Linked DNA regions of Caenorhabditis elegans. The protein of the gene in region 1 interacts with the protein of each later gene in a pairwise test. Each region holds a gene or a part of one and is shown in the gene's direction. Other genes may lie near its edges.

Region 1 (3,754 bases):
AGATTTGGCCTGGCCTAGTTCGGCAAAAAACTCTTCCATTTCAATTTATGGAGGGAAGCCAGAAATCCGTGTAATATTCTTATCACAAACCGCACCTTTTTCGGCGGAGACGCAGGTGGCGCTGCACAAATGAGAAGCTGTTTAATTGGCTCTGTGGTCCCTCCGGATACCCCCTAACTAATCCCTCGTCTATTCCGTCCCCCGGCTCTGCGTTGGCTCGCGCGCGCCCCTCCCGTCAGCCAAATCAACCCACAACAACACCCGTCTGCCCTTTAGCTCTTTCGAATGAGAGGAAAACGAGAAGCAGCTCACTGCTCACTGCTCTCTGTGTGCACGCCTAGTTAATTCCCACATTCGACATTCCATGCATTTTGGAGACCAATGCTCGCGGACAGCTCATTTTGGACAATGATTCGAATTGTCAGCTAGTCATAGCATAGTAAAATTATCTCCTTTTTTTTGGTGTCACGTGGCGTCTCATTTCGGTTTGATCTACCTAGATCTACAAAAAATGCGGCAGAGTTCTCAACTGATTTCGCATGGTTAAGAACGTGCTGACGTCACATTTCTTTGGGCGAAAAATTCCCGCATTTTTTGTAGATCAATCCGTTATGGGACAGCCTGATGGAAATTTTGCTTCAAAAATCTTTAAAAAATCGAAAAAAAAAATTTCTCAGAAAATTTGAATTTCCCGCCAAAATTATTTTAAGAGAAAATTTGAATCCTCGCCAAAACAAATTCGAAAAAATAAAAAAAAATTTCCCGCCAAATTTTTTTTTCGGAAAATTTGAATTTCCCGCCAAAATAGATATTTTCCGAAAATTTGAATTTCCCGCCAAAAAAAAATTAAAAAAATTTTGAATTTCCCGCCTAAATAGGTTTTTTTTCTCGAAAAAAAATTGAATTTTCCGACGAAATAGTTGTTTCACAGAAAATTTGAATCTCCCGCCAAAATAGATATTTTCTCCGAAAATTTGAATTCCCGCCAAAAAATTCTAAAATTTTTAAATTTCCCGCCAAATTTTTTTTCGGAAAATTTGAATCCCCGACAAAAATTTTTTTTCCCAGAAAACTTTAATTTTGCTCAGAAAATCTCAAAAAAATTTGAATTTTCCACTTTTTTTTCAGAAAAAAAAATTGTTTTTCTAAAATAACAAAAAAAAAGATTAATTCCCGTCTATAGCACTTGCACCATACCCGATTGGAATTGTCCTCCTCGATTTTTAGTTCATTTTCTGTCCAATCTTTTGATTTTGCATTCCTTTCTCTTTTTCATATCCAAGGCCCATTCCGGTTTGATCTACAAAAAATGCGGGAGAAAAGACACAAATTTCTCAATTGATTTCGCATGGTTAAGAACGTGCTGACGTCACATTTTTTGGGCCAAAAATTCCCGCATTTTTGGTAGATCAAACCGTAATGGGACGGCCTGTTGCCACGTGGTATATCCCCACGTGGTGTCAGGCAGTCTCATTGCGGTTTGATCTACAAAAAATGCGGGAACTTTCCCCCAGGAAAATGTGACGTCAGTACACTCTCATTCGATGCTAAATCAGCTGAGAAATCTGCGTCTCATCTCCCGCATTTTTGGTAGATCAAACCGTAATGGGACGGCCTGACACCGCTCCGTCCTCCTCTCGTGGTTGCGCCTAACTATCGCTAATTTGGTGTTTTTTTTCGGTGTTAGACTATCTCTACTCGAACGATGCCACAAACGTCGGCGTGGCAGCTCAACGACACAACTGCTAGACCACCACCACCACCACCACCACCTGGATCTGAAGCTGGAGGATCGGATGGAGCATCTATGAATGGAGCCAACACATTGCCACGTGTATCGAAGAGGGTTTCCGCTGCTGGAAAAACGTCGAATATTCCACGATTCAAACGACGTAAGAATTGAGTGTTTGGCTTGAATTTCCCCGTTGGTGGCTTGCTTGCTTCAGCTTACGGGATATGGTTTTTTTTAATGATGAATCCGTGAATTTTGCAACAAAAAAGCAGCGTCGCACAGAAAAAGAGGCGGAGCGTAATTTTGCAACCCTGCGGCACGGTTTTTTCTCCTTTTTTTCTGAATTTTTTTTTTCGATTAATTTCATTTTTTTTACAACCATGAAATATCCTCACAATCTAATAATAAGTAAATTGGGTAATACTTTCATTCGAAAAAAGACAAATAAAAAATAGAGAAAAAACCGTGCCGCAAGGTTGCGAAATTACGAAATTACACTCCGCCTCTTTTTCGGTGCGATGCTGCTTTTTTGCAAAATTCACGGATAGATTGTTTAATTTCAATAGTACTGAGTTGAAAACTTGAAAAAAGAGACATTTTTATTTGTAAAAAGCTATTAAAAAATGATTAATACCGTCAGACTGTTGAAAACGATTTTTCCGGCAAATCGACAAATTGCCGGATTTGCCGGAAAAAAATGGCCCCTAAATTTTCCGGCAAATCGGAAAGTTGCCGGATTTTAAATTTTCCGCAAATTGGCCGATTTGCCGGAAAAAGCGGCCCCTAAAATTTTCGATTTTTCTATTTTCCGAAATTCAGAAAATTACCCATAAGATATGATTTTTTAAAAATCTAATTTTGTTTATATATTCATGATAAAGAACATCTAAAAATAAGAACAATGATCAAAGTTTAAGCGAATTTTTAAAAAATCGAAAAAATTTCGAAATATCGATTTTTCGATTTTCAAAAATCGAAAAAACCGACACCCTTGATCGTTATCACTATTCGAAAATAATTGAATCTAAAGAATCGAGATCCTGTAAATCTACACTACAGTAGTCATATAAAGAATTACTGTAGTTTTCTTTTCGCTACGAGATATTTTGCGCGTTAAATATTTTTTTGTGTTCCCGTGTAATATAATCCTAATTTCCAGCCCATCTCCCTCATTCGACACGTCCTCTCTCCGCAGTCTTGACATCATCATCATCTCCAGTTGTTCATAGAAAGATCAGTCCATCATCATCTGCTCCATCAACATCCTCCGCACATCGTCGATTCTCGCATCTTCCTCAACAACACTTCCACCATCATATTCATCACAATCAGACCGCAGTGATCAGTGAAGAAACACTGACAACTCCACGAGCATCGACTCTTAATCTCAATCAGACAAGCGTCTTCCCAACGGCAATTTCCCAGGGAAGCATGCCGAATAGTGGCACGAACACTGCGGAAGCGTCAATGACGTCATCCGTATGTGCCATGGAAACCGAGGGAACGAATGGAGATGAGCTCGCAGAGTCCAGGGATATGGTCTCAGAAATGCAGCGGAGGTGTCGAATCGGGCCATCCGGGTATCCGCATTTACTGAAAGCCAAGCGACTCCGGTTCTATAGAAATGGGGATCAATATTTCAAAGGGATTCAGTATGCTTTACAAAGTGACCGGGTGAAGAGTATGCAACCACTTATGGAAGATTTGATGAAAACTGTAATCTGTGACTCGACGGCTCTTCCACACGGAATCCGTCACATTTTCACGATCGACGGCGCTCAACGCATCACTTCCGTAGATCAATTCGAAGACGGCGGTGGTTATGTGTGTTCGAGTACCGACGCTTTCAAACCGGTCGATTATTCGAGAGCCGCCGAGCCAAGTTGGCGTCTGACACTTGCCAATCGATACAATCGACACTTGGAGACGAAGAAGCTGGCGTTGAGTGTCGTAGAGCCGTGTCATGAGAATACGGATTTCGTGTTTCCACGAATTATCAAGGTTATTCGGAATGGGGTGAAG
Region 2 (3,594 bases), on another chromosome or scaffold:
TGACGTCATTTTCGACATTTTTGCGTTTTTCCGGCTATTTTAATTGATATTTCTCTGTTTTATAACTTGAAACATAATTTGTGGATTTTTCAGACATTCTTTCGTAATGAAATTTGCTGAAAAATTGAAGAAAAATCAATTAAAGTCAGAGAACGCGAAAGTGACGTCACTTTTTTTACTCTGGAATTCAAAAAAAATCAGTTCTTTTGACCTTTTTTTTGGCCTGATTTTGGCTTTTTGGTCTTTTTGGCCTTTTTTGCGTTTTCCGACTGTTTTATCTGGTTTTTCTTTATTTTTCGTTATGTCACAATTTTAAACAAAATTTATAAAATTTTCAGAAATTTTTCCGTAAAAAACTTGTTGAAACTCTAAAATTAGCCTAAAATCGATAATTTAATTTTTGAAAAACGTTTTTTGTGGAAAAATGTCCGAAAAATTGACAAATTATGTTCCAAATTGTAAAAAATGGAAAAAAAATAAAAAAAACAGCCAGAAAACCAAATTCAAAAAATCAAAAAAAAATTAGAAAATTTTTATAAATTTTTTCACTGTTATATTCTGCCATTTAGAGCAAATTTTTAAAATTTTCAAAACTATTACCTTCGCCTTCGCCTGCCTCGCATGCTCAACTTTCGCCAGCTCCTGGCTCTTCACCTCGAAAACTATTTTATTCCGTTTTTCGAGTATATCTCCGGCTAATTCGAACAATTCGACGCCGAGAAGATCGATGAGCTCGCCCTGTAGATCCATATCGGAACGTGTCGAGCACAACATTTGTAGAAGGTTTTGGGATATTGTCTGAAGGAAAATAGGTTAGAAACTTGATTTTTTAGCCGAAAATCAACCTCAAACGTATCTGGAAAATATATAAGCAATGTGTCAGCAATCGGCTGAAAAATGCTCCCAGAGCCCGAGGTAGAAGGCACTTGGGGTAGGGAAAGAGCTTCTGGAGCTTCTGAAAAACCTTCTTGTTCAGCTTCACAATTCGACCATTCTAGAAATTCCGATGGAAATCGAATTTGAATTTCCTGGTGGAAGCTTGCTACCCGTGATGGTGAGGGTGGATCTGAAAAAACATCTGGTAAAAATTTTTTTAATAAAAAAATGGAAAAAAAGCTAACTAACCATCTCCAATTCGTTCGATATAGTTGAGAAGATCCATTTTGTACCTAGTTTGGCAGCTGTAAAATTAGAATTAAAATTAAAATGAAAAACTATATTTTTCAAGAGAGAAGGATGTTCAAACATTGTTCAAAATTTCGCAATTTTTGAAAAATCGATTTTTTTCTGAAGTTTTAAGTTTTAATTACTTTTAATTTCTATTTTGTTTAATTGCCAAATATTTTTGTTTTTTTCTCTGTTTTAAGGTGAAAATTAATAAAAATGAACAAAATAAGGTCCTGGCCGCTTCCCTTCTCTGACCTAGCGCTTTCTAGGCCAACTGCACTTTTATTTGGCGGTTTTTTATGCAAAAGTGTATTATATTAATTTTTTTCGCAATAAAGATGTGTTTTTAATCATTAAAATAGTTTAAAATGAAGAGAAACATTGAAAATTGAAAGATAACAAAAAATGTTTTTAAAAAAATTCTACAGTACTTTTTAAAGGCGCAGTCCAATTTTTGTATTGATTTTCCCGCCACGATTACTCTTGTGGACTCTTTTTTCGTGCTTTTTTTGTTGTTGGTTATGGTTTTTACTGATTTTTTTTGAATTAAAAATTAAAAAATGACTTTTTTAATTAAAAATTTGTTTCAATTATTTTGAAACCCTCTTGTAAAGCCTTGTAAAACAAGAAAATTGAACTACAGAAGTTTTAAAGGCGCATACTAATCTTCAAAACAATTTTCCTACCACGAAAATAAATGATGACGCGGGAAAACTGAAGAATCGTTAATTTTCTCCGTTTTTCACGAAAAATGTCGGTTTTTTCTATTAAATTCATCCGATTTTCAGATGTCGCTCAACACAACCTTCACCAAAGAGGACGGAACCGAGGTCGTCATCCCATTCAACGGGTCGCAAAATGGGCATCCGGAGAACGAGGAGCCAGAGGTTGAAGAAGCCGCGGAGCCCAGTTCTTCAGTGGAGACACTGTGCGGTGCCACGAGAGGCGACATCATTGTGATGAAGCACACGACGAAGGCGCTCACAGAGTTGATCGAGCGGCTCTTGCACTCGGATGGTGAGAAGCTTTGAAAAATTGCTAAAAGAGATTTTAAGAGGAATAAAACCATATTAATTTCAGAATTCGAAGTCCGTCGCTGCTCAAACGGCCAAATCATCTCACAAGGCCGCTGCAACGGAACAACGCCAGGAAACGGCATCGGAGGCGGCGGGGCATCAAGCGAGGAGCTCGAAAAAGCGCTGAAAGATCGAGATGCCGCCCGTGCCGAAGCCGACAAGCTCCACGCCAACTACGCGACACTGTTCGCCTCGTTCAACACGGTTCGCGAAGCCGCCAACGACATCCGCGGCGAGTACGAGGACGCGAGGGACAAGCTGAAGCTCGCCGCCGCCGAAGTTGACGAGTGGCAGGCAAAGTTCCTCGCCGTCAAGGATAATGCGAATTCTGAGCTTGAGAGGTGAGTGAGAGAAAATTTAATTTGCAACATGTAAGAATATATTTCAATTCAGAGCATCCGTGGAGTACGACGATCTTCTCCGATCCCACGATGAGAACACAAAGGGACTCCGTCTGCGTGTAAAACGCCAGGAAATCGAGCTCTCCAGCAAGAACGACGAGATCAAGGTGCTCACGAACCGCGTGTCGGAGCTCTCACAGATTTGCGATCAACTTCTGAATGATGTCGACGTTTCCGATGGGATGTCCGTTATTTCGACGGATGCATAATTTATTTCTGTAAAATATAATATTTCTTCCCCCCGCCTTTTCGCTTTCCGCCTTATATTTTCTAATTGTACATGAATTTTTCAGCTTATTTATTTGTTTTCCAGATTATTTGTATGAGAAACAAGTACAAAAGGCTTCGTTTCAGTATTTTACCGAGAAAAACTACAATCTTCTAAATTTTCGCGCCAAAGATACAGCGCCCGGTCTCGACACGAAAAACATTTGCCAAATGCAAGCATGTGTGCGCCTTTAAAGTGTACTGTAATTTCCAGGCCGAATTTGTTTTGATTTTTTTAGTTCTCACTTGTTTTTCCAAACAATTTATGCGTTGTTACGAGGTTTTTGTAATAAAAGTCAATAAAATTCCTACAGTAATCTTTAAAGGCGCACACCTCTTTTCAGACTGCCGCATGGATTTTGAGCGAATTTTTTGATTAAAATGTATGCAAAACTTTCAAAATTTCTATTAAAATCTTGCAATTTTCCAGATGAAAAAAGTGGAAATTCTGAAAACATCTCGGCCATCATCTGCAGGAGGCGCTGCCCGACCCTCCACAGCGAGCCCAACTCATGGAGCACCGAAAATCGCCATCAAAACACGTCCGGTGGCCGATGACGTGGCGCCTACCGCCGCTACGGTCATCGAGCCATCGCAAAAAGCGATGAAGGAGTCTGTGCGATTTTTGACGGATTTCGGAGAGATTTCCGATGCGATTTCAGTGTGTTTTTTATTTTAATAAT

Evidence for each region.
Region 2: the proteins of zyg-8 (region 1) and tac-1 interact in binary tests that used the Caenorhabditis elegans proteins (3 or more experiments, as listed by UniProt).

What each region holds. Positions count from the first base shown.
Region 1 is NC_003281.10:12,060,034-12,063,787, forward strand, and holds the start of zyg-8 (Serine/threonine-protein kinase zyg-8), read left to right. Parts: upstream 1-1,679; 5' UTR 1,680-1,705; coding exon 1,706-1,892; intron 1,893-2,891; coding exon 2,892-3,754. UniProt on the Caenorhabditis elegans protein: Probable kinase. Kinase activity may be involved in positioning of spindle poles in meiosis and mitosis. Plays a role in spindle positioning during asymmetric division of one-cell stage embryos.
Region 2 is NC_003280.10:14,752,237-14,755,830, reverse strand, and holds tac-1 (Transforming acid coiled-coil-containing protein 1), read left to right. Parts: upstream 1-1,953; 5' UTR 1,954-1,955; coding exon 1,956-2,184; intron 2,185-2,247; coding exon 2,248-2,584; intron 2,585-2,636; coding exon 2,637-2,853; 3' UTR 2,854-2,940; downstream 2,941-3,594. Other genes in the region: Y54E2A.4 (Activating signal cointegrator 1 complex subunit 3), read right to left, coding at 601-798, 846-1,066, 1,126-1,162; smg-9 (Nonsense-mediated mRNA decay factor SMG9), read left to right, coding at 3,342-3,572. UniProt on the Caenorhabditis elegans protein: Involved in microtubule formation, polymerization and assembly, regulating microtubule nucleation and length. Plays a role in pronuclear migration and mitotic and meiotic spindle elongation during early embryogenesis.